Saccharomyces cerevisiae S288C: one gene and its partners. The protein of the gene in region 2 purifies or fractionates together with the protein of the main gene of each other region. This does not show direct contact. Each region holds a gene or a part of one and is shown on either strand. Other genes may lie near its edges.

Region 1 (7,361 bases), on a different chromosome or scaffold from region 2:
AATGCATCTATAAATTTGTCTAGTACTCTGGGAATAGTCAAAATTGCACGCGCCAATATTAATTCTGGTATTTCTTGTGATACTAAGATATTTTCTAACGTTTTTATTAAAATTTGCAAAGATTGATCGATATTTTCACCAGTTATCTCATCATCATTAAGCAAAATACACTGTAAGAGATATAGTAAAGATTCTAAAGTTGAATAATTACACGTGCTGTGTTCTATATCGTTGGAAACAACTTTGAAAATTAGGGAAAGTTGAGGATTGGGTAATGAAGTAAAAAATTCATTGGCTTGATCTCTAACATTATATGATGCTGCTAGGCCTGTTTCCTTCGATACAAATGTATTGAAATCGCTTGTCCATATCTCTCTTGTCTCAGAACTTAGCTGACAAAGAATGGTTAAAGATGTTATAATTTTGTTCATCTCTTCAACACTAAATTGCAAAGTGCAAACACTAGTCAAAAATTCTACAATATAAATAGAACAATCATGAACTGTTTCTAAAAGGGGTTCACTTTCAGTAGTTTCGACATTTGCATTTATATGGGTAACGTTTTCCAGATCTTGGATTGCCATTATTTTGAACTGTTTTTGTAATTCACTTGAGAAATGCTTTCTAGAGAAATCATTTTTAATAAAAACCAAATTCTCGTATATAATGGATTTAAATTTCAACTGAGAAATAACATCTACGTTTCCAAAATTCAAAGTCAACAATTGTCCCAATATCTGTAAAGAAGTAGCTAAACATTGGGAGACAAAACTTTTTCGTGACGCCTCATCATACTCATTATGGGAGCTCATTTGTAGAAGACATGCTTTAAGTAGCTTCAAAGCAGCAATTTTGGCTATCAAAGTAGAAGTTTCTGTATTGAGTACTTTGAAAACGATCTCCATTGTCGCCAAGCCAATTCCGCCTTCAAAGAACATTTCTTCAGATACGACATCATCGTAAATTTCATTCAATAAAGACATCGCATTTAATGAATGCTGATGAGAGATAGCATCATAAATAACTGTTAAAAGCTGCGGCCATTGATCAGGAAAATCAACCGCAGATATCTGAACAATACAGTAAGATGCACCATTTTTTATTTTGGTATTTTCATTGTCATTTAAGCATAATTTCAGTAGCACTTCTCGGATAAAATCTTTAACATCTATTTCGACGTTCGATGTAGAACGGTATGATTCAAATCCTGGACTCCAATACATGGTGATCAATTTTCTTAACGACAATAAAGCAAACTGTCTCGATTCTAGAGAAGCTTCGTGCTGTAAGGCAACGTTTGCCAGCGCTTTAAACACTTGAGATGCATCGGAATCACACCACTGTAACAATTGCGTTTCCGCAACTTCTCTAGTGTGTTTATCAGCTGATTGAGCACCTATTATCAATTCATTAATATCCATTTTAATGTGTTGATAGTGTTACAATTACGTTCAAGATTTTCGGATCGTGTATGCAGGTCATATACATCCATATGTATCTTTTTTTTTTTTTCCTAGTATACCCAAGGTATAACGCGTTGATAGAAAGGTTGACAATAAATTCATTATATAGGGGTCCTGTGAGGTAGTTTCTGAATCCCAGTGAAAAAAGTCATAAGTGAAAGAAGTCGAAGTTTTTCACAAAATAAATTAGTTTCTTTTTTTGATCATGAATACTGAAGGTGCTTCTTTAAGTGAACAATTGCTGGATGCAGCTAGAAGAAACAATCTGGATCTTTTGGAGACCGTATTTGATAGCTTAGATAATGATCCTGAGAAGATTGCAAAGCTAATTAACGAATCCAAAGAACCACTGGGGAATACAGCGTTACATTTATGTTGTAAGTATGGATCCTGGGAAGTTCTCGACAAGATTCTCGATCAAGACGGTGAAATCGAAATAGACCCACAAAACGACGTTGATGGCGACACTCCGTTACATGTTACTGTCAGATACAGTCAAGAGGAGCCTGAGCATGGAACTTTTATTGCTAGAAACTTAATTGAAGTGGGTGCGGATCCTAGGGTGAGAAACTATAACAATCAAAAGCCAGTTGATTTGGTTCATGGTGATGAACTGGATGAATTAATTGACCTTTTGCAGGGTGCCGAGTTAGCGATTGATAGTACCAATGGATCAGGTGATAACAATGAGGATGGGGAAATGATAGATGATGGTCCATCTGACGATGACGAAGAAGATGATAAAAAATGATAAAATATGTGATGATAATACCACAGAGAGGGAAAGATAGATGAACTCTGGATATATAGATATTTCTACTGTGTATATATTTCTTTAAGGTGCACTAACAAAAAAGTGTGCATATACGCATATTCAACAATATATATATATATTACTTCACATCATCCGTTCTGGTGGGTATCCAACCATCGGGAGATAAAATGTTCTTTATTGCGATAATTAACTGGCTTCTCTTTTTTTGACGAGATTTAAATTCCAAATAGCTTATTCCTTCATACTCTGGTCTTATTTTTTTGAATAGTTCCCATTGTGCAAACCGGCTTACTTGCGATTGACAGTGTTTCCTCAGTGGTTTCGATGATTTGGTATAAAATCCATTCCTCACGCCATTAAGAATCGCTTCTTCGGTGCTAAAGTCATCCATAAAGAGCTTGACACTACACATTAGACCAGGAACATCCTCCTCATCCAATTTATCATCATAAAATGGTTTGAGGCAATTCAGGAATTTAATTTCATTATCTAGATTCGGTAGACGAGTGTGAAATGATTGCTCTAGATGATGTTTCGTTTCATCTTCTAAATTAGGAATCACAATGTACTTTAAAAATACAGGTTTTTCAAAGAGTTCATAATTTAAACAATTCAGTACCGACGACCGTTGTTTCATTAATAATTTATCAGAACAGGATTTAGATAAAGTGATATTGGAATCATATCTTCCTGGTTTAGTCCTAACGACATTTCTTCTATTGAAATTCAAGCGTCCCCTCAATATTGTTTTCACACTACGGTCGACGTATTGAAATTCGTCGCTATCTTCTATTTTGATGAAATCATCATTTTTGCAATTATCATTCAGGAAACTCATGCTGGCATCACCACAGGGCAATCTCGAGATGTACAATGCCAACTCCCAGTTTTCCTTTAAATTGAATCTGGCAGGTATCTCGTCATTATGTTGAATGAATTTATCACCACTTGATGGATTATAGTTTTGAATACGGTTTAATAAAACTGTATTAGCACCTCGTAATGCCAGTATTTCTGCATGACAGTCATGCAGAATCTTCCCCTCACTTCTTTGTAGTTCTGAATCTGGCAAAGCCTTCACACCAGTAGCTATGGAAAGTATCTCTATCTTATTCGCACCGCCATCTCTGTTAATAGCTGCAACACCTGCCAATATTGTCCACTCTCTGATACCTGAAGGCCTAATTATTGGTCTGCAGGCAGATTTTAGTTTTGAATACTCATTAATCACCCTCGTTGATATCTCTTCACCCAATTTATCCTCACTTGGCATAGTGAGAAGGTTTACTATGCATGGCCTTGTTCCTTGGCACGAAACCATTCACATCACTATTATTTTCTGTTCATTTTTTTTTTTTTTTGCATCACAACGATGATAGTATTATTTTTATTTAGTATATTTAAATATATAAATATAAATATATTTTTACAAACACTGAAATTGTCCTGCCTACTAAAACTTAAGGTCAAATTTGATATCCAATTCACCAACCATGCGCTCCAACCCACCAAGGCGCCTGAATTGTGCCACAAGTAGCTCTTTCTCACGCTTATCTTTAGCATCTTTATCTTCTTGTAGCTTCTCTTGTTGTGCAATTTCTTTAGCTTTTGCGTTTTCTTCCTTTTGTATCTCCTGATAGTAAACTTTGGTCCTGGTTTTTAGCCTGCTGAAAGGATCGCTCTTTGAATCAAAGTTATTACTGTCTTCTTTTTTCACATGCTCTGCATTTCTGATGTTACTCATATTCAATTTTCTATTCTTAGAGGTCAACTCGCCTAGTTTTTTAATGTCAGATTGGTCATTTTCATGATGCTTCTCGTATACAGACATTCGTTTCTCAAAGTTTCTTAACTGAGCAGAGTATTTTGCAATGTCCTTTTCATTATTAGTCTCCTTGGCATATTGCAATTTTTCTCTCAATACAGTTTTCTCCAAGACTGCATTCGTACCAGATAGTTTTTTATTGAATTGCATCCTATGGCGAACAACCTCATCTGTAGTTTTATCAGTCAATGGTGTATTGACAAAATCCATAACCTCTTTCGTTTTGTTACTCAAAGAATGTAAAGAAGGTTTAATCATTTGCGAATTATCCAATGCCCTGAGATACCTTTGGTATTCGTCTTCGGCAAACAAACCATCACTAAAATAATTCATTTGAAAAACCTTTCTGTCTTTACCTTGGGTAACACCGAAATACTGGTTAGTATAGAACTTACCCATATTGTAAGGTTTTTGCAAGAAAACTCTCTCAATTCTCACCATACGGTAAGAAGTTTTGCCGGTACGTTTATCTGTGCCAACATTGACTCTCCCATAACAACCTTTGACTGCATCTTCAAACCCGGGATAAAAACAAAATTTTGCGACAAATGAACGACCGATCCTTAGTTTGTTGAAATCAGAAATCTCAGGCTCTCTGTCTTGCTCGTCCTCCTCTTCAGCCCACTCCACTTCTTCTCTTTTGTCGTATGTATCCCTTCTATCAAAAGGATTGTATTCTTCATCATCCCCGTATTCACTCCCTTCATCGTCCTTGTAGTCTTCTTCCCTGTAATCTTCCTCATCGTCTTCGTCTTCATTATCGCTGTAGTGACGGTTTTTCCTCGCTCTTTGTTTCTTTAATTGCGAAAGTTTTGAAGCCTTGATATCAGAATGCCCAGTAGCATGGGTTGATCTAGTGGAAGCTCTGGTCTTTCTGGAATCTTCGTCGTTCTTGGCTCTCTGTTGTTGTTCCTTCATATCTCTTCCACGTGCTCTAAAAAGTTTCCTCTCCTGGTACTTCTGCATGATTTGAGATCTTTCAAATAATAGAGTCTCACGTTCCATTTCAGGTAAGGATTCCAGGTGCTCTCTGTCGCTCTCATCCTTGTACTTTCCTTCCAAGGGAAAAGGATTAGCTTCTTCTTCTTCTTCGGAACCGTAGTCTGCATTTCCTACAGAGTAAGGGTTATAATCGTCCTCCTCATCATCATCCTCTACACTGCCGACTTCAATTCTCCTTTTCTTGGAAAGAGATTGGTCGTTGTTTTTTGCCCTTTTGGCAGATGTAGTTGTCAAAACTTGATCTTCTTCTTCGGATTCATCGGCACCAGCCAAGGCTAATAAATCCTCATCTAAATCAGACATTTCTATAGTGCTCTCAACAAATTAGTGCAATACAATTACAAACTTTGGTATCCTTCAAGTACCTTTTGTAACTTTGAATATTTTCCTTCCAGCTCGTAGTCACTATTTGAACCAATTTCAATAAAATATAAATTGTCAAAATTACAAAACCGGGTAATGGATGATAAACTTTTACAGTCAAAGTTCTATAGGTAGACATACATGTCATAAGCTGCTATCCTTACATGATTCAAGGCAGCGAACACAGGACTGGTTCAGAAAGCAAACCATTCACTTATAAAAGATATTGTTCAAAAGGTACTGGTTGAGAAATAACATAAATATGTATATACATTACTTATGTGATGCTTATTTCTTTGCACCATACTTGTTGACAGATTTACCATCTGGGATGGTAAAAAAGACATATGGCTTACCATCCTTGGGTAAAGCATCCAATCTGTAGTAGCCCTTTCTTTCGAATTGGATGATATCACCAATCTTCATATCCTTAACATTCAAGTCAGCAATGGCATCCGTGTGGAATTCTGTTTGAGGAGTCAAGAAATCTTCGAAACTTTCGTCTTCTTCCAATCTGTCCTTGGTAATCAAATGGTCGAAGTCAACTAAATCAACAGGGACGACATCTTTAGTATCAGCTAACCAAGTCAACTTGTGCTTGGTCTTTTTGAAATCACCTTCCAAATTCAATTTGGCAACCATAGAACCATCGTCATTCTTTTTAGTAATAATGACATTACCCCAGTCCATTAAAGTGACTTCTTCATCAACATTGATGACGTCAGCATCATCTTTGTCGACAACAATGTCTTTGTAGTAAATGACTTTCTTTTCGCCCACAGCTGGGTTTTTCTTGTGTTTTGGTTTCATTTCAATCTTTGGTTCTTGTGGAGCTTCGGAGCCTTCCAAGTGGATTTTAACTGGGTTGACGATAGCAGTGTGTCTTGGAGCAATTGGATCAATGACCTTCTTGTTGAAAGCCCAGATCAAGTTCCATTCCAAGTTAATGACATTTCTGGATGGACCTTGGGATAAGACGAAGTTCCTCAAACCTTCGACAGTCATACCTCTTCTTCTCACACCCCTGACAGTTGGGAACCTTGGATCGTCCCAATTTCCGACCAAGTCCTTGTCAACCATCCATTGTAACTTTCTCTTAGACAACAAGGTTCTAACGAAATTGATACGAGCGAAATCCCAAATATGGACTTTTCTCAAACGCAAAGCTTGTAACATCCAATCATATTGAGCGTTACGGTCTCTATATTCAATGGTACGTAAAGCGTGGGTAACACCTTCAATAGCATCAACAATTGGGACACAGAAATCATAAGTTGGGTAGATCTTCCAAGTTGATCCGGTTCTGTGGTGAGGGGTTAGATTACATCTGTAAATGACAGGATCTCTTAGAGTCTTGTTCAAAGCCTTGTAATCGATCTTGGCACGAACACAGTTCTTCAAACCTTCTTCAGTACCGTTTTTCATTTCTTCGGTAAAAATTCTTAAGTTCTCTTCAACAGAACGATCTCTTCTGGCAGAAGCAACACCATCCATACGTTCTTCTCTCATCTTTTCAGTTGGAGTGTCGTCACAGTAAGCTTTACCATCCTTGATCATTTGAACACAGTAGTCGTACATTTCTTGGAAGTAGTCAGATGAGTAGGTTATTCTATCACCCTTGATTCCTAATAAATCCAAATCTTCCAAAATAGAGTCTTGGAATTCTTCCTTTTCCTTCGATGGGTTGGTGTCATCGAATCTAATAATCAACTTACCCTTGTAAGCTTGAGCAAAATATTGGTTCAACAAGGCAGCTTTGGCATGTCCAATATGTAAGTATCCAGAAGGTTCAGGTGGGAAACGAGTGACGACTTCACCCATTTTGGCATCTGGCAAATCAATTTCAAAGTTAGCCTTGTGAGTTTCCTTCTTCTTACCCACATTAGCACTTTTCTTTAATTCTAGTAAAGATTTGCTCAAGAAATCGTGAGCT
Region 2 (7,011 bases):
TTTCATGACAATAGATTATAAGAAAAAGTGTGAGACTGAAGGCAGAGCGATCGCACTCAAGTTTCTGTGCCAGGCATACCTTCAAACAATCGTCCATAACAGCCTGAATATGCTTCTCTAAAATGTTCATAAGGGTCCTCAGGATAAAGTAATACTCCGCATATAAAACAGAACAGCGTCCCGCATACTTCGCATTTCATTTTATTGCAACCTTCACTTCTTTCTACAACTACCTTACACTTTGGACATCGCTGCAAATTCGAACCCTCTTTTTTAATCGCTAAATCTAACATTTTTTCAGCAAGGTAATCATTGACTTCAAGTTCTAATACTCTTCTCCCATATTTTGCCTCCAGTTTCCGCTTTCTCTCATATGAAGTAACGGTATCATCTAGATATTCCTCAATAATATCGGTCGATAACGAAACTTTCTTGCCACATTTATTGTTGTAACCATGCCAGGCATGCAAGCAGTCAAAGCAAAATACAAAATGACATTTTTGACACTGAATCATCGCATCATCGAGGTCTTCTTTTGTGCACCAACTATCACATCTTCGACAAGTCACACAAGCATACGGACAATATTTTGAGAGTCTTGTAGCCGCCTGGTTGTAGAACATTTTTTCGTATCTTTCACATAGCTCTGTATCGATAACCTCTTTTAAGAAGGACACTGGAATCAAAGGTGTAAACAATGCCTTCAGCATTTTTTTATAGCTCTTGAAATCTTCTAGTTTTAATTCTTTGTATTCGCATTGTGGACATCTTACACTGGATATTCGGTTTTCCTGAATCATTGCAGTGAAATAAGATTTGGCGCATCCTCTGCAAAGATAGTGTTCTACATTCGCATTTTCACATGGCAATTTGATCATTCTAACACCCTTTTCCATTTCCATACAAATACAACAATGGTAGTTAGATCTGCTCACTTTTTGGAGGGTGGCTTCCTCACTTATCTGCTTAAACAAGTCATACTGATCCTGTGTCAGGCACTTTCTTATTCCATTAGGGAATAGTAATATAGCTGTATCATCTATAAGAAACCCAAAGATGAGGATAAGGATGGAGGTAAACGAATCCGCGAACTCAATACTCATATCTACAGTTTCTTCAACGAGTCTCAGCGCTTTGTCAATTAACATCTTCTTTTCATCTGTTGATATCCATAAGGATTTGATATCCATAACAACACACCGTCGAATGTCCGGATAATGACAGCTATATATGGTGAACTCCACGCATTCATTAGATAAGTTTGAAAGTAACATATGTTGCTCGCCGAACTCAATATTTACATCGGCCAATAGTGATATCTTGAACAGTAACTTTCCGTTAATTCTTTGAGGGAATTCACCTTCCTCCTCTACTTTTACCGATTTCATTTCCAGTTCTGGGTACATATCTCTTAATATTTCCAAATCATTTTCAAACTGAGTCAAAGCCATTTTACTCCCTGGTCTTTCATCAGTTATATTAGTTTTCTGTAATTCGTTATTCTACACCATGACATAACTTACTGGTGACTAAATGAGAAAAGCAAAGTCCCTTTCTCTTGCTTGTTATTTATTTTTGAACCCTTTACACTATTTGTCTTTTTTTCATCACCCAATCGAAAAGTTGAAAGTATTTTTCAAGCATTGAAAGGGTAGAGGAGATTAACAAAACATAAATATTTTGCAAAACAAAACCAATTTCAAATAAATGTATAGAATAACACCAGTAATTAAGAGGTGGTGTCTTACACTCACCATGTCATGATAATATCAATTGGCAAAATATATTAGTTAGTTTTTACACAATATCAATAAATTTAACTTATACAGTCTAAAATTATTACTATTCTACCTTAGGCTTCTTCGAAGGCCTTTCTTCGTCGCTACCCCCCTCAGCATCACTTAAAGCCGCATCTGAATCAAACTCTTCTGCAACTTCGTCTGCGTCATTATCAGAGCTGACCTGAAAATCCTCATCTACTGATTCATCATCTTCACCAGCGGAACCCATATTAATATCCTCTTCGTCACTGTCTGAACCTAAAGCGGTTTGTAACCTTTCTTGTACCTCTCTATCTTCATTCTTCACCCTTAGGTTTTTAGACTTTAGGAATTGTTCCAATAATTGCTGCTCTTCCTTACTGATGTTGGCAAAAGTGGTAGAACCTCTATTTGAACGCAGTACCACTTCCAAATCAAACGTCCTCGATGACGTAGAAGTTTGTCCTGCTCTTGAAATGTTTACCATGCTAACATCACTGAATGGTATGTACAAAGTTGGCTTAGTTAAAAAGAAGAAAGCGTTATCTAATGGATACAAATAACCTTCGTTTGCTTTGAAAGAACATGAAACTGCACACTGATCATATTTGGATTTATATTCTCCAGGAACAATGACTCTACGGTCAGTCAGACCTTTTAATACATGACTTAAAACTATATGAGTTTTAGCATCATATTGTTTTTTCAATTTATCCTTATAATTTTCCTCATAATCTTCATCTTCTAGATTCAATTGCACTTCTGTTTCCTCATCTTTCTGAAATTGTAAGACAAGAAAGGGGTAGGTGGTCTGTCCTTGACGTAAAGGAGGTTCAATTGCCAAAACCAATAAGTGATGGATATCATCTGCCTTTGGTAACGAAACAATTCTTTGTATTTGACGATGTTGCAATTTGTATTCATAGGTCTTACCCCTGAGTCTAATGGAGTTCTTGTAAATATCGATATCATAACGACCTCTTGGCGTGGTAAAAAAGACGTCTTGGAAGGAAACTATTGCATCACCAGCGACTTCCCCGATGTCTGCCTTTTCCTTTAGTTCTTCATAGAATGCTTCTGCCATACTCTTTTCCTCTACTGCCATTTGTACATCTTCTCCTTCAGCACCATCTTCTTTCTTTGGTACGACCTCGTTGCTTGACTCTTCCTTTTTGGTCATGTTTTCATCGACGTTTGTTTGAATAACACCAGGAATATAGAACCTCATCTCTACCAATTCGTCACCGGCTGGTTGGTACTCTTCATCTTGAATATTAAATTCTATTCCTACTTCATTTTTAGAGGTCAAATTTGTATTATTTATTCTAGCATAAGGAATTTCAAAAGTTGGTTTACCATTTAAAGCAAAAACCATTTCATTCCTGGCAAGGTCTGTCTTACCCCAGTTCCAACCACGTAAGGAATGTTCTCTTTGCTCTACCTGAATATTAAAACGGCGATGGAAATCATTCTTGATTAAGTTATAGTCATCCTGAGAAAATCCATCTAGTTGGATAACACCTTGATTTTTGGTATTTATCTTCAAGTCGTAACCCCTGCAGCCCCTACTCCATTGGACGGTAGATAATTCTGTGGCTGGTAATAAAAATGGTTTTCTTGCCTGATTTGCTGCAGAGCCACCACTGGTACTAATTTTCCACCCTAACCCAGAATCAGCAATACGGAATCTACCGCTAAATTTAGATTGGTTCAAGTAAATTCTATCAAAGTCGGTACTCATAATTCTTGTTCAACAATACTAGATTGTTCCTTCACTTGTTAACGGTATTTCCTTCTTGTTCTTACCACCGATTCAACATCTAGCTACTCTCATACTATGTATATCTCTGACACTCGCGTTAACATTTCACCAGTTTAACGATTCGTTTCGCGTTGAACCGGGTTATACAATCGTTCTTCGCGATGATAATAACAATAACTCCAAGAAAAGTAAGCTTTTTCTATATATATATATCATAAGTATCTTGATATGTATTCGTGAGCCAAGTACTTACAAGGCGCTTTGAACCCCCTTCAAAAACTCACATAGGCCTACTGCACCAGGATCTTCTACTTGAGATGAATCGCCGACATACGAAGCTCTGCCAAATTTGGCCTCGAATGTAGCAGTGGATTTAGCACCTTCCTCTGCAGCTTTTACCGCCTTATTGAAATCCTTAGATGCAGTAAATTCTTTAACGAATGGTTCTAAAGCATCAATCATGGTGGATGATCCCTTCCTTGCCTTTGTATATTTGTATAAAGTATCCAATGCAATTCCGAGTGACTTAGCCACAATTTCCTTAGTGACGGGTTCATCCTTTGATTTACAAACCTGAATTAATCCGTGTGAAAAACCCGACAAAAGAATAGAATATAAACCACCAGAAGTACCTCCCATTGAGCCTTCAATGAAATCTGAAATTTGGGCAACCGCCTGAGATAATGAGTCCTTCGACAGCTTGTCAAGGTTTTCGGTGATGCCTTTAACTCCTGCCACTAAAGTGTAACCACAATCACCATCACCAACTTGATTGTCTAGTTCCGTAATGTGCGGTTCGCTCTTGATAACTTGTTCAGCACCACTCTTCATCCACTCAGCAAACTTGTCAAAGTCATAGGTACCGACGGCCTTTGCTGTTACTTCATTATGTAACAAGTCATCGTTAACAGATGGGGCAGAAGTCTTTTCAAAATCTGCAATTGGCCAGCCCGGTGCGTTCGTAAATGCGTTCAACAAGTCTAGTACTGATTTGATCTCCTCAAAATCAGATTGCAAAGCCTTTGTAGCCTTAGTGGCGTTTAGTAATGTGATACTGAACCCATTACCATTGAAGGAGGTCATCAATGTGCCAGCAATTGTTTGAACCGGGGTTATGTTGTAATTTTCCTTTAAGAAATCCGTAGTTTTGGAAGTGATAGAACTAATAACAAAATTAGAAACACCGCCGAGATTGTTAACTAACAAGACAACTTCATCATCTTCATCAAACTTTACAAAAGCTCTATCCTTATCGTTTGGATCCAATAGTTTTGGTAGCATATACTTGGAGATCAAGTCTTCGGTAGAAGGAATAGGGTCTAAAACTTTCACACCAGGTTCGTTATGAATACCCATACCCAATTCCATTTGTTTTTCGTTTAATTCACTTTCGAATTTCCTGCCAGGAACTTTACAATGGTCTAAAGAAGATCCAATGGTCACCAAATTGTCGTTGATAATTTTAGCCACTTTAGCTGTACCGTCTAAGCCATACTTACTAGAATATTCTTCTGCGAAGGCACCTACAATCTTATGAACCAAAACGGTACCTGCCAATGCTCTTCTACCAACCATACCACCCTTTTCTCTGCCAACTGCAACATCATCACCTATGACAGCAACGCGGCAGTTAATACCCAAGGCTCTTGCTCTCTCAGCGGACAGACCAAAATGCAAAACATCACCTGTGTAGTTCTTCACAATCAATAAAACGCCAGACGCATTTTCATTGACTAAACGGATTGCATTTAAAATCTGTTTTGTTGAAGGGGATGCAAAAATTTCGCCAACCACGGCGCCACTCAACATACCCTTACCAATGAAACCGGCGTGTGTAGGTTCATGTCCACTACCACCACCAGAAATTAATGCGATCTTGTCGGAATCGGTCTTTCTGAAGAGAATTTTTTCTTCAGGGACCAGCGTAATGGAGGGGTTAGCAAGGGCAAACCCTTTGAGACTTGAATTGACTGGATCTGTGACTTCAAACGATTTAGCGGACATTTAAAATTTAGTCTTAGATATAGAATGTAATCTTATTCTTTGATGTGTTCGTTTACAGTTGCTACAAATAGTGACTACTTGTAGCGAAGTTGAAGTGATTTTCTCCTTATATATTTATTCATCAGTTAGTTCGACAGACGCTCGCGAGGTGGCCACTCTTTCAAAATGACGCAATTGGGAGTGGTTTGATCTTTCTCCCTTAGAAGCCAAATTGGCAAGCACTCACTCCGGGCCAGATTTACACCATGTTTGTAGCGCATTTAAATCAGGAAATGCATTATATTTCACTCTCTCGTCTAGCGAGTCTTAATGTTCATGACGGGGGAGCTTTATGCCTTGTTTTTTATCACAGCGCCAGACAATTGACAGTAACAAATAAAGGCAAAAAACCCTTGAATAGCACCAGAGGTGTTTACTGATTGCTTTTAAAGTACGTATAAAACTGTAAAATATAGATTAAATTCGACCGCCATTACTTTAGAGTTGAAATTGGGAAGCCGTATATTGCCATTTCAGCCATGCTTCTATGGTTCCTAATGGAAGCATGAATGACATACGCAATTTGATGAGCTTGAAAAGGGCGTAATTGACAAGCCAGATTTGAATCTAATCCCTTGAGAAATTATCTGCAAGTAGTAAAAAAATCTCTAAAAGATGTATAATTGAGTCGCCTAGAGACCTCATTCATCATGATATTTGACACCTTAATTTTGATAGTAGCGGGTCAGTCATTAAGAAGAAAGTGAGCTGGGGCTAATCATCAACGATCTCCCATAATTACGTACGTCAAAGACAACACGTTGGCAAAGGTAAGAAGAACGTAGTGCGTATCATGCTTACGGTGAATTTCACCCTTTTTTTCTGTTATTCGTGCTGATCCACGGGGTATTCAATTGAAGATATTATCTTTATCATCATATCGGTAAGCGTCTGGGAGAAGCAACTGGTCAAACGTTTTCAAAAACCATTCTTTAAACAACAAACCGATCAATGTTCTTGATCAGCTTATCAATCTATCCGATCTCCTGCGTTCAGCGTGACCGCCACACTTATGTCTAGATAATTTAACTTCCAGTTGCTAATTTCCCGCTAAAGTATCTTATGTTTACCATCACTGTAGCCGCCCTATCATATGCAACACTTCCATACTCATTTTCGGAATAAGAAGCAACTATCATCTAACGACTAGTATTTATATTACTGGTATATTACCATATTGGGTATAAGACGGTCAAATAAATATTGAGAAACAGTCACCAATTTTAATGGAAATTGAAATGAAAGGGTTGATAATGTGCTAGGAAAATGAACGAGAACATACAAAATGAAAGAAGAAATAATAATATTCCTACACAGAAATATCGGTTCTCTATTGTGGATTTTCATATTCTCGAGGAGAACCTCTAGTACATTTTGTGTATCTGGTATCACAGCGCTTGACAACTATAGAATTTAAACAATTATCTCATTCTTCATCCATCACTC
Region 3 (6,418 bases), on a different chromosome or scaffold from region 2:
TCTTCTTCCGGGTCCACCATTAAATTCACTGGCTTATGCTTAAAGCTTAGACAATTATCGTGTTGTTCAGTTTTATTAACGTTTATAGGGCTTTCATCCTCAGCAAAATATTTTACAGGTGCCGCCTGATCAAAGTGAACACTCTTACTCCTAATCAACATCGGACTACCGTCTCTTGCTTGGACACCATTCCCGCTCCTTATACCTGGGGTTGTAGGTAATGATTTTGATCTTCTCTTCAATGAGCTCTTCAATAGTTCACCTGACTTTTTATATACAGGTGGCGCAAATGGAATTAGAATTTCTTCATCATATTCAAAATTCATATCATTGCCAGGTGACTTAGCTTCGGGATATTCTGCTTGAAAAGATTTTGGTACGGTGGATTTGGGGGAAAGGGGAGGCAGCTCTATTTTGAATGGGGGTCTCGTACTGCCATTTAATGATTCTACGGAAGTGTGATTCTTGGCAGCGGCAATTTTTGACCAGCCGCTCTCATTATCAACGTTTTCATCATTCCCTGCGGAGAAAATTCTTTTGTTTAAATCAGTGTTTCTTTGCACTTCTTCCTCTGGGAACCTGTTCGCTCTCATTTGAGTTACTCTCTGAGGTTTATGTAAAAACTTCAAAGAGTTTAAAGTCTCTTCCGTACTTCCATCTCGTTCTTTGTTGTATAGGTCCGAATTCACTCTGTAACCCTTGAAATCTGTTTCAAGATCTGGTAGCTGCTGGTTTTTATTTCTGTCTAGTTTTTCATTCTTCCTCTCAAACTGTTGGGGTTTCTGTTCTGCCTTTATATACATTGTTGCGTTGATGAAATCCTAATAAACTTGGGCTGTAAGAATAAAATTTTGACAAGATATCTGTACCCGTTCCTATTAAACTTGTTTCTGAGTACAACGGAGATCTTTTTGATGTTCAGCCTACTAAAAACTATACCTTACAGAAAGAAAAAAAAAAGTCCAATGTGGTTCCTTTCTCCTCAATCAAACAGAATGCCAACCTTCCTTGTTTCTTTTCCTTTTTTACTACTAAAAGGTTTTATAAACCAGACTTCTCTCTTTAAACGTCCCGTCAACCCTGCCTTTAGTAACTGCTTTCCCGTCTAGCTTTCTTTTCGTTCCTATTGTTTTAACCGTATTGTATGCAGGTTTACCTTCTATAAATATGCACTGAACTGGAAAGGCTATGTTTGAAAAGCTTTAGTTTTCTTCTGTTGAACGGATGGGCCCTGTGTTGCTTATTACGCAATGCAGTATATATAAAGGAACTCAACCTGAAGAAGAATATGCAAGATATAGAAAGACCGTTGCAATATCGAAATATTTCCTGTTGGATAGAACGAACTTCTTGGCCCCTTCATTGAGAAGCGTAGCTGATACACATTTTTGGTAAAAGACCTCATGGTAGCAGCCCCTTTCCCCTTAAAAAGACTTAATATGGCATACTGTTTTTCTTTTATGCGCTTCATTCCACGGCAAAAAGAACCTTTCCCCGCCCCCACTCTGCGACAGGAGTTTGCCGCCCATCTCCACAATAGGCATAGTTGTCGGTACCTTCCAGCGCTACGTCAGCCTCTTCCGGGCAAAAAATCGACGTAGCATGGAAAAATGCATTCTAGACAGCTTTATGCGTTACGATCCCCAATCTATGCTCCCTGGGGAGAGTTTGTACAGGTTTTCTCCAAAATAAAAATACCTACAAAACTCCGAATATTTATGGGTAGCTCCAGTTTTCGAAAATTGGAGAAATGAAGGGGGTTGAAGAAGAAGGTTTCATGAGCATGAAGACGGTAGTAAAGCTGACAAATATGCTACGAAGATTTAACTTCCTGGGGAAGTAGCAAAAAAAAAGAAAAAATATTCACAGAGATAACCTCAAAACACACTTGGGAAGTCATGAGGGGTAACTTAGAATAAGATAGAACTCTATCAAATTATTGCCTATAAAAAATACAAAATTAATCGGGATTTGGCTTCCCTTTTTCTGTTCTATCTTATACACGACAATTAGAAATTTCGAAAACCATGATATCAGATGCGCCGAGTCTTTTCAATTCATCTAAAACAACACCCTTCGTTTTTCTCTCAATCATGGAACTAACAGCAACCCATCCTTCATCGTCAATTTTGGAAATGGTTGGTGCTCTACGGCCAGGCGTCACCTTCAACAGTTCAGGCAGCTTGTCTTCAGGTGCGTTATAAATACATGAAACGAACCTTTGAGCGGTCATGACACCTTCAATTCTTGATTTGATAGTAGCAATCAAACTCTTATCGCTCTTTGGGTTCTTTGATTCTATTAGGTAGGCACTTGTGCTTAGGACGGTGGCAATATCAACTAAACCTGCTGCCCTCATTGTCTCACCACTCTCTACAAGATCTACAATAGCATCACCAATTCCCAGAGCACATGATGCCTCCACGGAACCACTGACAAACTTTATCCTTGTGGTCATTTTTTCAACAGTAGTACCTTCCAAATCGGCAAAGTATTTTTCAGCAAGTTTCACGAAACTGGTAACAATGGTTTTGCCAATTAACTGTTCTGGCTTTTTATACTCGCCATTTACGGGGACTTGTACCTGCAATTTACAGTTACCAAATTGCAAATCGATTGCTAAGTCTACGTCGACGTTAGATTCACGAACTTGGTCAACACCAGTTATACCAAGATCACATTTACCTTCACCAACAAAAGTTGGAATATCTGCAGCGGGCAGAAAGACCAACGCTACAGGTAAGCTTGTGCTTAGTGCAATGTCTAATCTTTGAGAGCGGTGAAAGGTAATATCAGCACCATTCAAAATAGAAACACTTTTAGAATATAAACGACCTTTCTTTGGGATTGCAAACAGTAGTCTATCGGTTAGATGGTTCACCAAATCCATTTTTCTATTGAATTTTTTAGAAACCTATCCTTTCTTTTCTATTTTCAAAGATTCAAACCGTTAATAGGAGTAAAATGCCAAAGTTTAGACGGTAAATACTTGCAGTTCACTGCGTATAAATGGACTTTCAGGCGAGTATATTCTGCAAAAATATTTTATAAGTTCCAACGGTAGAGGTGACTCACTTGGAAGCTTTTTTTTTCAATCGTTGGCTACGTGCGTACACGTGTTTTGCGGTCTCGCTTCGAAATGCCGAAATGAAAGAATTTCCGGGAAGAGTCACGCTGTTATCAATGACTTTGCAACTAATAAATTAACTAATAAATATTTTAATTAATTTTTTGACAAGGAGTCTAATACCTCGCATGCTAAACAACCTCTCTAGCCGGGTTGCCGGGTTACATCTCGTTCTCTTTACGTTCACATAGTCACATAACCACTAGTCACCTGTGCATTCTTACTTTTTTTTTTTCTTTTTGGCTTTTATTGTAAGACTGATATGCAGGCCACAAAGTCTCAATTAGGTCGCAGCCGTGCAAATTGTCTTGGCATTTTTGAAGTTTTGTATATACCATAGAGATTATCTTTGATATGTTACTAATATTGTAAAATACAGTTTGTAGCTATTTTTATTAAATGAGATGTCTAAATAGTTTACATGAAATTGCATCTATGATACATGACGTGAAATGTGCACGGGGAAATGATCGCCCTAATCATTACTTCCTAACGACCGAAGTATTTTAATTCTAAAGGTCTTAAGATGTTGTAGATGATGAAGGCCCAACTTGCACCCAACTCGAACCCAATGTCACCACCATATTTACCAATTAAGCGGCCAATTTCACCAACCCAATAGGTTTGACACATACCCAATGCAACACCGAAGGCACCAACAATTAAGGCAGCAGTACCTGCGATACCGATAGGTAGATGCTCCCAATTATCCCAATCATCAATATTGTAAGCACTGAAGGAACGTCTGTAGAAGAAATGTTCTGAACATGAGATGGCAATGTAAATAGCTAAGTAGTAACCGATAGAATCCATGAAATTCTCCATAAAGCCATCAAAGTAATAGGTAGCAGGGATGGAAATACCTAAAGTGGCAGCATTACCTGCCATTGTCCAGACTACTCTTGGTATTTTAGCCAAAGGTGCCCACAAAGCTTGAGCGGATAAAGCAACAGTATACATATTTGGAATATTATTTGCAATAGTGGACAGAGCTAACAAAACGCAGCAGAATTGACCAAATCCGTTCAGAGAGTTAGGAACCAGGATAGCATATATGACACCACCCATAGCATTTTTGTCATAATATGCCTTCCAGGTTGGGTCATTAAGAGCAGCCATAGCAGAAGCAGCACCAAGAATCATGGTGAAAAATAGAGGGAACGCTAGACCAGCAACTAGGGAGAAAAAAATCTTGTACTTGTTTGTACTCTTTGGCATATAAACAGTGTAGTCAGCTGCATAGGTCGTCCATCCTGCGGCAAAACCGAAAATAGATGAACCAAAAGAAAGAACACTACCTGCAGTAGTTGCACCTCCTACCCATTCACCACCTTTAAACTTTCCTGATCTCGATAGTTGGGCAATAATAACCAAAAAGACGGCAAAATTGGGTACCCATGACCATTTCTCGTATGCATGAATGACACTGTAACCAAAAAAAGTCACAAGCACGGTACCACCAATAATGATCAGACAACCGGCCCAAATAGGACAGACGTGGCCGGAGCCTTCATTCACCATATTCAGCAGTTGTGCGGATACTGAGGTATTCACAATACCCCAACCGACACAAGCAATAACGTTAATAAGAGAGAAAATTCTTGCCGTTACATTACCAACCAGATATCTTGATAAAATCATCTGTCTTAAGCCCAGTTCTGCACCAAAGACAGAAAAGAACGCAACAAATATCAACCCCATTATATTGAAAAATATGATAACTAAAACACTTTGACCAAAATTTAGACCGAACACCATGGGTCCTAAGGCACCCAAAGCATATGATGCAATGACCATATTAGCTGAAAACCACATGGACGCAGCATTCAGTATGGAATCGTCCGTTTTTTCATCCTCTGTAACTGGTTCAACACCCTTTGTTTCTGCATTCAAACTGGCAAAGAACTTATGGAACCACGATAATTTTGTGGCCTCTGATGATTCAACGATATACTGTTGGTCATCTTCGGAAGTTGCTGTGAAAGTTTCAGAAGCGGCTACCTTCTTTTCGTTTTCCAAGCTTGAGCCTATTACAGGAGATCTCTTCTCCAAGTCTTGGATTTCGTAAACATTATTTCCCTCTTCCAACATTCTTATAAATCGTTATAATAGAGGATAGGATGTTTTATATGCGAAATTTATATGGATATTGTTGTGAATACTATTACAGTTAAGCTTACTTATCTACATTTCAAAGAAAAATGCCTCCAACGCGTTTTAGACTCACCACTATTTTACTGTCTAAATATTTTTAATGGATATTTATATTAAAACCATTATCTTGGTTGGTTCCCTAACATCTTGATCATCGAGAAAAAAAAAAAAAAAAGGACATGAAAAATTCTGACAATGAAAAAAAAGAAATTAAAGACTCATAATTATTTATTGATAAGGCGAAGACGTAGCAACTATATGTACGTAGAAGTCAATGGCAATCGCGATAAAGCTGTGCATTAATGACCGAACGCGGGCGGCAGACATTTCTGAAAAAGAGTCAATTTGTACGAATACGCCCCCCACTCGGGAAAGGCGATAAAATCGACTGATATTTAGTTCCTTGAGGCCGTTCCATTGGTGACAAAAGAAAACATGCCGCTCGATTTTCTAACACTAAGCAAATCCGCAGAGGAGTATTGCAGTCACTTTGACCGAATAAGACCAGTATCCATCGATTTTCTGTCTTGGATGACCTCTTTGCTGTTCTCCACAGGTAAATCACTTAAAAAAGATATGAGATACGTTAGATTAATTAATTTCAGAAATTAATATGATTACGGAAACTTGGTTGAAAGTGGCTGAATTTACGACGTAATCTGTCTTGACATCTTTTTTTTTTTCAGCGAGCATTCTCTAGGATTTTTTGTTTACTTTCCACTTGGATTTTATCTGTAGGCTTTATCAAGTTCCTGTATGTATGGTTGTGCAAGGCACTCTTCTTCATAAAGGAAAAGATGTGTTGAGATTTGTAAGGCTTTTCATCAGTGTTAGATCTGAGGTGGTGTTCACATTAAATTAATCGACGCAGGATTTGGCGAAAGCTTCTGGCATAATGTTTGGTGTTTGTGGTGTGTGATTTCTTTTTTTGATTTTTTCTTTTGCAGTTGTATTCCCATACATTAAATTGTTCGTGGCACATGAAAAAAAAAAAATAAAATATGAACAGGTCTTTTTTATAGCAGAGTTACGTCGTCTACAGTTGGACAGGCGATTGACTACTAAATTCCCATGGCTATGGATGACGATGATTAATGAAGAAATAGTAGCTCGACAACATTACAAAAAGCATTATTC
Region 4 (9,883 bases), on a different chromosome or scaffold from region 2:
TCTCAATCACATCCCAACATGACTAACTACCAAGAGGATAATAGTTGCAGTATCAACGATGAAATACTTAAAATGGTTAATAGCGTGGCTGCATCCAAACCAGTTTCACCCACAGGCTTTAACGTTCATGATCTACTTCTTCCTTCAACTAACAACCAGATGCCTGCTATGGAACAATCACACTTGCCACAGCCAGGTAATCAAAACAACCATTTTGGAACTACAACTATTCCGAATGCGTTAGACTTGGCTACAAAATCTTCTTTACAGACTGAAAACAACTATTTAATGAACTCACAAACTCTGGAAAATACAAGTCTATTGATGCATAATAATTCATCGCCAACTAAGCTATTGCCAAATGACTTTGGTTTATCATCTTGGGGTGGTCTGACAAATACAATGTCCATAAATCCTACATGTAAACCACCGGTTATTCAAACTTCAGAAATGGAATCACAAGCCCATAAATCTAGTCCTCAAGCTACAATGCCATCTTTTGGACTACCTAATGGTGGTACTCACCGTAAATCGTTTACCGACGAGTTGAACACTTTAACTAGCATGCTTTCTTCTTCCGGGTTCGCAGATACATCACTTTCATCATCAGGATTCCCCCCATCACAGCGTTCTGTGTGGAATGATCAAAAAAGCTCATTTTCGGGACCGTCGACTGCAGGAAACTTTAACAACAGCAGTATACAAAGCGGTATGCTGCTCGCACCTACATTAGGAAGCGTTGAATCGTTTCCAAATCGAACTTCTATCTGGGACAGCAGCACCACTCCGATGATGAATAAATCCGAGCTTTCCGGTCGCAATATAACTAGTACTGCGCAAGATAGCCCTGCGTTCATGGCATCAAATATCTGGTCTAGTAACAGTCAATACAATTCACCATATTTGACTAGCAACGTCCTTCAATCCCCTCAAATTTCGAGTGGAGTGGATGAAAGCCACATTCTGGATAGCATCTACAATACTTATTTAGCTATTTCCCCACAAGATAGTTTAAACCCCTACATTGCTATCGGGACACTATTCCAAAATTTAGTAGGACTTAACTTGGATTACTCGACGTTTATCAACAAATTGATAAGCATGCAAGGAGCCTACAATTGCGAATTCTTTACTGATAACAATGGATCCATTACCCACGTTCGATTTGCGAGACAAACTCCCGCTGGCCACTCAAAGGGGTTGCTGAATCAACTCTTTAGTGGATTGAACGATCCAACTGCTACACCATTTACGTCAAGGCCTCATACCTCCACAAGGGCTAGTTTTCCAATTGCCTCTTCAACTACGCAAACGTCTTAAATTTGCTCCGGTACGCAGGGCCAAAAATATTTACATACATACATAATTCGACGAAATTTCAGAAGAGACACTAAACAATCGTACATCTCTCTACTCGATGTGAGCCACGCGTCGGTTTTTCTTACCGTCGTGGCTTTAGAGGTGAGGCTGCGACACCCCATACATCTTACCCGGCATTTAATTTCCATTTTTCGCAGGAATGTGAATATGATAATAGACTTCGGTACACTCTTTTTTAGGTATAACATATATCAATTGTTCAACAACAATTATTCAAAGCGCAACTCTCCAAAGGTAGTTATTCTGATAATTTGAACCAAAAGTCCCCAGATTAAGTCTTAATTAAACTGCCCTTGCATACCGCTGTAAACGATTTGTGTGCAGACATCAATTGCTGAAACGTTCTGCTTTGGTTGTGCTTTTGATCCCGTACTATGTCTGAAAAGGCCGTTAGAAGGAAACTTGTTATTATTGGTGATGGTGCTTGTGGCAAGACCTCTTTACTATATGTATTTACATTAGGAAAATTCCCTGAACAATATCATCCGACAGTGTTCGAGAATTATGTCACTGATTGCAGAGTTGACGGAATAAAAGTGTCCTTAACGCTCTGGGATACAGCGGGACAAGAGGAATATGAACGTTTACGTCCATTCTCATATTCAAAAGCAGATATAATATTAATTGGGTTTGCTGTAGACAATTTTGAATCACTAATTAACGCAAGGACGAAATGGGCGGATGAGGCATTACGATATTGTCCTGACGCACCAATCGTTCTTGTAGGCTTGAAAAAAGATTTGAGGCAAGAAGCCCATTTTAAAGAGAATGCTACCGATGAAATGGTTCCCATTGAAGATGCAAAACAAGTTGCAAGGGCCATTGGGGCCAAGAAATACATGGAATGTAGTGCACTGACTGGTGAGGGTGTGGATGATGTCTTTGAAGTAGCTACAAGAACCAGTTTGCTTATGAAGAAGGAACCAGGGGCTAACTGTTGCATAATTTTATAAAAAAAACTTACACTGAAATGATACATTATCTTTTTAGCAAGGGAGGGAAAAACAATACCGTATTATAATTTTAATCAAATTTCATAGATATAATGGAATAAGTTAAAAAGGCTTATCGATAGTGCATGTATAAAACACAAACCCATTCGATATGTTTGTTCGTTAATGTCCTACAGATTCTTATTCGAGAGCCTTTACCAGAAGCAAAATTTCCGACGGATATAAGAAAATGGCACATCAAACCATAGCTCAAGGTACTGCGCCGATGAGCTAAACGGAACTGCCTAGTTTGATTATTTTTCGTTTATATACTTATTTACTTATTTACGCTATTTGTATTCGAATTCCTTACGAGGCGATGAGTGAAAGACGCGCCAGTAGGACGCGTCTTTTTTTTTTCAGTATAATGTAAACATATTATTGAATTGCCGAAGGAGACAAAAAGAAAAGAAAAGAGGAGATCATCTTTCATATAATCCAACCACGTCGTAGAGCAAACCACGACAATTTTAACTTTCTGTTTCAGTTAAAGGAGTTTATAACGACCAGCACGGCTAACCATGTCAACTGAACCGGTAAGCGCCTCTGATAAATATCAGAAAATTTCTCAACTGGAACATATCTTAAAAAGACCAGACACTTATATCGGTTCTGTTGAAACTCAAGAGCAGCTGCAATGGATATACGATGAAGAGACCGATTGCATGATTGAAAAAAATGTCACAATTGTACCAGGGTTGTTCAAAATCTTTGATGAAATCTTAGTCAATGCGGCAGATAATAAAGTTCGTGATCCATCGATGAAACGAATCGATGTAAACATACATGCTGAGGAACATACTATAGAAGTGAAAAATGATGGAAAAGGTATTCCCATAGAGATTCATAACAAGGAGAATATTTATATTCCTGAAATGATATTTGGTCATTTGTTGACATCATCCAATTATGATGATGATGAGAAGAAAGTCACTGGTGGTAGAAACGGTTATGGTGCTAAGCTTTGTAATATATTTTCCACTGAATTCATATTAGAAACTGCAGATCTAAATGTTGGCCAGAAATATGTTCAAAAATGGGAAAATAACATGAGCATTTGCCACCCCCCAAAAATAACATCTTACAAGAAGGGTCCATCATATACAAAGGTGACATTTAAGCCGGATTTAACCAGATTCGGAATGAAAGAGCTAGATAATGATATCTTAGGAGTGATGCGAAGAAGAGTTTATGATATCAATGGTTCTGTTCGTGACATTAATGTCTATCTGAATGGCAAGTCCTTAAAGATAAGAAATTTCAAAAATTATGTTGAACTCTACTTGAAATCACTCGAAAAAAAAAGACAACTAGATAACGGTGAGGACGGTGCCGCTAAGTCTGATATCCCGACTATTCTTTATGAGAGAATAAACAACAGATGGGAAGTTGCTTTTGCGGTTTCTGATATCTCTTTTCAACAAATTTCTTTTGTGAATTCCATTGCAACTACCATGGGTGGTACCCATGTCAATTACATAACAGACCAAATTGTAAAAAAAATTTCAGAAATTTTGAAGAAAAAGAAGAAAAAAAGTGTGAAGTCTTTTCAGATTAAAAATAATATGTTCATTTTCATTAATTGTTTGATTGAGAATCCTGCATTTACCTCACAAACAAAAGAGCAACTGACAACAAGAGTCAAAGATTTTGGGTCCCGTTGTGAGATTCCTCTTGAATATATTAATAAGATTATGAAAACTGATTTGGCTACAAGAATGTTTGAAATTGCCGACGCAAATGAAGAAAATGCGCTAAAGAAGTCTGATGGTACAAGGAAAAGCAGAATTACTAATTACCCTAAACTGGAAGATGCCAACAAAGCCGGTACAAAAGAAGGCTATAAATGTACTTTAGTTCTGACAGAAGGGGATTCCGCCTTGTCATTAGCTGTTGCAGGTTTAGCTGTTGTTGGTAGAGATTATTATGGTTGTTATCCACTTCGTGGTAAAATGCTGAATGTTAGAGAAGCTAGTGCTGATCAGATACTAAAAAACGCGGAAATTCAAGCCATTAAAAAAATTATGGGGTTACAACATCGCAAGAAATATGAAGATACAAAATCTTTAAGATATGGGCATCTTATGATCATGACCGATCAAGATCATGATGGTTCGCATATTAAAGGTTTAATTATAAACTTTTTAGAAAGCTCATTTCCTGGTCTTTTGGATATCCAAGGTTTCTTACTTGAATTCATAACTCCGATCATCAAAGTTTCCATCACTAAACCAACAAAAAACACTATTGCATTCTACAATATGCCGGACTATGAAAAATGGAGAGAGGAAGAATCGCACAAATTTACTTGGAAGCAGAAGTATTATAAAGGATTAGGGACTTCTCTAGCACAAGAAGTCCGAGAATATTTTTCGAACTTGGACAGACATTTGAAAATATTCCATTCTTTGCAGGGTAATGATAAAGATTACATTGATTTAGCTTTCTCCAAGAAAAAGGCAGATGACCGTAAAGAATGGCTGAGACAATACGAACCTGGTACTGTTTTAGACCCTACTTTAAAAGAGATTCCAATTAGCGACTTCATTAATAAGGAATTAATCCTTTTTTCTTTGGCCGATAATATACGGTCGATTCCCAATGTTTTAGATGGATTTAAACCTGGCCAAAGAAAAGTTCTTTATGGTTGTTTCAAAAAAAATTTAAAGTCGGAACTGAAAGTAGCTCAACTTGCACCATACGTGAGCGAATGTACGGCATATCACCATGGTGAGCAGTCATTGGCACAAACTATTATTGGGCTAGCCCAAAACTTTGTTGGGTCCAACAATATTTACTTGCTATTACCTAACGGTGCTTTCGGTACAAGAGCCACTGGTGGTAAAGATGCAGCGGCAGCGAGATATATCTACACAGAATTGAACAAATTAACTCGTAAGATATTTCACCCTGCTGATGATCCATTATACAAATATATACAAGAAGATGAGAAAACAGTGGAGCCAGAGTGGTATTTACCAATTCTTCCTATGATTCTTGTTAACGGTGCTGAGGGTATTGGCACTGGCTGGAGTACTTACATTCCTCCATTCAACCCATTGGAAATTATAAAGAATATAAGACATTTAATGAACGACGAGGAGCTTGAGCAAATGCATCCGTGGTTTAGGGGATGGACCGGTACTATTGAAGAAATTGAGCCTCTGCGTTACAGAATGTACGGTAGGATTGAACAAATTGGAGATAACGTCTTAGAAATAACTGAGTTGCCAGCCAGAACTTGGACATCGACTATAAAGGAGTACTTACTTTTAGGTTTAAGCGGTAACGATAAAATAAAACCCTGGATCAAAGATATGGAGGAGCAGCACGATGATAACATCAAATTCATAATCACGCTATCACCTGAGGAAATGGCTAAAACAAGGAAAATAGGTTTTTATGAAAGATTTAAACTAATTTCGCCTATAAGTTTGATGAATATGGTCGCATTTGATCCTCACGGGAAAATCAAGAAGTACAATTCCGTGAATGAAATATTAAGCGAATTTTACTACGTCAGACTAGAATACTATCAAAAAAGAAAAGACCATATGAGCGAAAGGTTACAGTGGGAGGTAGAGAAATACTCTTTCCAAGTAAAATTTATTAAAATGATTATTGAAAAGGAGTTAACAGTCACCAATAAGCCTAGGAACGCTATTATCCAAGAACTTGAGAATTTAGGGTTCCCCAGATTTAATAAGGAAGGTAAACCATATTATGGAAGTCCTAACGATGAGATAGCTGAACAAATTAACGACGTAAAAGGCGCAACTTCTGATGAAGAAGATGAAGAAAGTTCACACGAAGATACTGAAAATGTTATAAATGGTCCTGAAGAACTATATGGCACATATGAATATTTATTAGGAATGAGAATATGGTCATTGACCAAGGAAAGATATCAAAAGCTGTTGAAACAAAAACAAGAAAAGGAGACAGAGTTGGAAAACTTGTTAAAACTTTCCGCGAAAGATATATGGAACACTGACTTGAAGGCTTTTGAGGTGGGATATCAAGAATTTTTGCAACGAGATGCAGAAGCTCGCGGTGGTAATGTTCCCAATAAAGGGAGCAAAACGAAAGGTAAAGGAAAAAGAAAGCTTGTTGACGACGAAGACTACGACCCATCAAAAAAAAACAAGAAAAGTACTGCTAGAAAGGGCAAAAAAATTAAGTTAGAGGATAAGAATTTTGAAAGGATTTTGTTAGAACAAAAACTAGTAACCAAAAGCAAGGCGCCTACAAAGATTAAAAAAGAGAAAACGCCTTCTGTTTCAGAAACAAAAACAGAAGAAGAAGAGAATGCTCCTTCTTCCACGAGTTCTTCTTCTATTTTCGACATAAAGAAAGAAGATAAAGATGAGGGCGAACTGAGTAAGATTTCGAACAAGTTTAAAAAAATTAGCACGATTTTTGACAAAATGGGTTCTACTTCCGCTACATCGAAGGAAAATACACCAGAACAGGACGATGTAGCCACTAAAAAAAATCAAACAACCGCTAAAAAAACAGCTGTAAAACCTAAATTGGCCAAGAAGCCAGTCAGGAAACAACAAAAAGTTGTGGAACTATCTGGTGAAAGCGACCTAGAAATTTTAGATTCATACACTGATCGGGAAGATAGCAATAAAGATGAAGATGATGCTATACCACAACGATCAAGGAGACAAAGATCGTCGAGAGCTGCGTCGGTTCCTAAGAAATCTTACGTTGAAACTTTAGAATTATCTGACGACAGTTTCATCGAAGATGATGAAGAGGAAAACCAAGGATCAGATGTTTCGTTCAATGAAGAGGATTGAATAATATTTATCCAGAGAAAGCGCCATTCTTTTTATATGTTTATATCAGAAACAAATAGAAGTCGATCGTAATGACTAGATTATATAATCAGAAATAGCCTTTGGTGATCACTTCCATTTTAGTCAGCATAATAGAAAGTTTAATTACGCGCTTTTTTACATTCCGACAAAGATCTGCCCGAGAAAATTCTTCGAGAAGACAACAACAACAAAAAAAATAAAGCCTGGGCGAAAAACATCGTGCGTTTACATAATATCTTGAAAAGCAAACAGATATATAAACCGCTATTGAAATTACCTTTTTAAGTATTCGCCTAGAAGCCTTGTTTCAAGTAGCATCAACAACAGGTGTTAGGTTAAACTGCTTTGACTTTTTGTTCTTTAACGAATATCATTAAAAAAAAAGGACATCTATAAAGAATGTCTCCAAACTCGTCGAAAACTCGAACGGACCAGATAAGCTCCATGCCTGGTATTAATGAAGCCACGAAGGTGGAAAGTAAGAATGTTGTGAAGGATGCTGTTCCAATAAAATCTGAAGTTGAAACCAATGGTACATCAATAGTAAGAGAAAAACAAGATCCATCGTACGTTGGTTGGAAACAAGTTGGTGGTTGGGAGGAAAAGGACGAGTTAACTTCCGAAGACCTTTTAGTGGACGTAAACAAGGACACTTTTTTGGGGAACCTTTTACCAGATAAATTCTATGGTGATTGGTATCATGAAGTCGCTATTCTCATCATCGCTGGTTTATGTTCCTTTGTGCTGGGCTATTTTAAATTCTCTCTCGCGTCCGTCCTTATCGTGATGCTAACCACAGGAATGTTATATAGAACTTCGTCCAAAAAATATAGGGAATCGTTAAGGGATTTAGCCCAGAAAGAACAAACTGTAGAGAAAATTACTAGTGATTATGAATCTGTCGAATGGTTAAACACCTTTTTAGATAAATACTGGCCCATTATCGAACCTTCTGTCTCCCAACAAATTGTCGATGGTACAAATACTGCATTATCTGAAAATGTGGCAATTCCAAAGTTTATAAAAGCCATCTGGCTGGATCAATTTACGTTAGGTGTGAAGCCTCCAAGAATTGATGCCATAAAGACATTCCAAAATACAAAATCTGATGTCGTAGTCATGGACGTATGTCTATCATTCACTCCACACGACATGTCTGATCTTGATGCAAAACAATGCAGGAATTACGTAAATTCCAATGTCGTATTAAAGGCAAAGATATTCGGAATGGACATACCTGTTTCAGTTGCTGATATTTTTTTTCAAGTTTTTGTTAGATTTCGTTTCCAATTGATGACAACTTTGCCTCTTGTTGAAACTATAAATATTCAGTTATTGGAAGTTCCTGAAGTTGATTTTATTAGTCGTTTATTGGGTAACTCCGTCTTTAATTGGGAAATCCTGGCTATTCCAGGCTTAATGAGATTGATTCAAAAAATGGCATTTAAATACTTGAGCCCTGTTTTACTCCCACCTTTCTCTTTGCAACTTAATATACCACAACTTCTTTCCAAGACTGGCTTACCTATAGGTGTTTTGGAAATCAAAGTCAAAAATGCCCATGGATTAAGAAAACTTGTGGGCATGATCAAGAAAACAGTTGACCCATACTTGACATTTGAGCTCTCTGGTAAAATAGTCGGTAAAACTAAGGTTTTTAAAAATTCTGCTAATCCTGTTTGGAATGAATCCATTTACATTCTGTTGCAATCTTTTACTGATCCACTTACAATAGCCGTATATGACAAACGCGAAACCTTAAGCGACAAAAAAATGGGTACAGTAATTTTCAACTTGAATAAGTTACATGCAAATCACTATCACAAAAATGAAAAGGTACATTTCCTAAGAAATTCTAAACCTGTCGGTGAGTTGACATTTGATTTGCGATTTTTCCCCACTATTGAACCAAAAAAATTACTGAACGGTGATGAGGAGCCTTTACCGGATATGAATACAGGTATCACCAAAATTACTATTCGCGAACTCAAGGGACTGGATGAACTAAGTGACAAAAAATTCGTCTTTGCAGAGTTGTATGTCAATGCAGAATTGGTGATGACCACAAAGAAAGAGAAAAGAACTGCCCATTTGAAATGGAACTCAGATTATTATTCTGTGGTAACAGACCGTAGAAAGACTATCTGTAGATTTGTTTTGAAGGATCAGAGTGGTAAAGTAATTTCATCTTCGGTACAACCATTAAATCATTTGATAGATAGAACAGAAGTCAATAAAGAATGGATTCCTTTAAGGAATGGAAAGGGAGAATTAAAAGTCACCACTTACTGGAGGCCGGTAGATATCGACCTCGGATTGAAAAGTGTAGGATATACTACTCCTATCGGTATGTTGAGAGTGTTTATCAATAAGGCTGAAAACTTGAGAAATCCAGATAGCTTAGGAAAGATAAGTCCATACGCCAAAGTATCCGTCAATGGTGTGGCAAGAGGTAGGACAAATGAAAGAATAGAGACATTGAATCCTATCTGGAACCAATCAATTTATGTGTCTGTCACATCTCCCTTACAAAAAGTCTCAATTGACTGTTTCGGTATAGATACAAATGGCGATGATCATAATCTCGGGAGCCTTAATATTCAAACTCAGAATATATATCATAAAGACAATGACGATAAATATACCATTTTTATTGACAACGCTCCAAGAACTGGCAACTTA

What was found.
Region 1: the proteins of POB3 (region 2) and RTF1 purify together in Saccharomyces cerevisiae (affinity purification with mass spectrometry; 4 studies listed by BioGRID). This does not show direct contact.
Region 3: the proteins of POB3 (region 2) and HIS1 purify together in Saccharomyces cerevisiae (affinity purification with mass spectrometry, with the first as the bait; 2 studies listed by BioGRID). This does not show direct contact.
Region 4: the proteins of POB3 (region 2) and TOP2 purify together in Saccharomyces cerevisiae (affinity purification with mass spectrometry, with the first as the bait; 3 studies listed by BioGRID). This does not show direct contact.

What each region holds. Positions count from the first base shown.
Region 1 is NC_001139.9:39,505-46,865, reverse strand, and holds RTF1 (RNA polymerase-associated protein), read right to left. Parts: upstream 5,369-7,361; coding exon 3,692-5,368; downstream 1-3,691. Other genes in the region: karyopherin KAP114, read right to left, coding at 1-1,421; ankyrin repeat-containing protein ANK1, read left to right, coding at 1,669-2,214; TAD1 (tRNA-specific adenosine deaminase), read right to left, coding at 2,357-3,559; glutamate--tRNA ligase GUS1, read right to left, coding at 5,717-7,361.
Region 2 is NC_001145.3:131,990-139,000, reverse strand, and holds POB3 (FACT complex subunit POB3), read right to left. Parts: upstream 3,502-7,011; coding exon 1,843-3,501; downstream 1-1,842. Other genes in the region: ITT1 (RBR-type E3 ubiquitin transferase), read right to left, coding at 57-1,451; DAK1 (dihydroxyacetone kinase), read right to left, coding at 3,772-5,526. UniProt on the Saccharomyces cerevisiae protein: Component of the FACT complex, a general chromatin factor that acts to reorganize nucleosomes. The FACT complex is involved in multiple processes that require DNA as a template such as mRNA elongation, DNA replication and DNA repair.
Region 3 is NC_001137.3:262,896-269,313, forward strand, and holds HIS1 (ATP phosphoribosyltransferase), read right to left. Parts: upstream 2,891-6,418; coding exon 1,997-2,890; downstream 1-1,996. Other genes in the region: GIP2 (Gip2p), read right to left, coding at 1-803; FCY2 (purine-cytosine permease), read right to left, coding at 3,617-5,218. UniProt on the Saccharomyces cerevisiae protein: Catalyzes the condensation of ATP and 5-phosphoribose 1-diphosphate to form N'-(5'-phosphoribosyl)-ATP (PR-ATP).
Region 4 is NC_001146.8:454,811-464,693, forward strand, and holds TOP2 (DNA topoisomerase 2), read left to right. Parts: upstream 1-2,893; coding exon 2,894-7,180; downstream 7,181-9,883. Other genes in the region: NST1 (Nst1p), read left to right, coding at 1-1,320; Rho family GTPase RHO2, read left to right, coding at 1,755-2,333; TCB2 (tricalbin), read left to right, coding at 7,601-9,883. UniProt on the Saccharomyces cerevisiae protein: Control of topological states of DNA by transient breakage and subsequent rejoining of DNA strands. Topoisomerase II makes double-strand breaks. Essential during mitosis and meiosis for proper segregation of daughter chromosomes.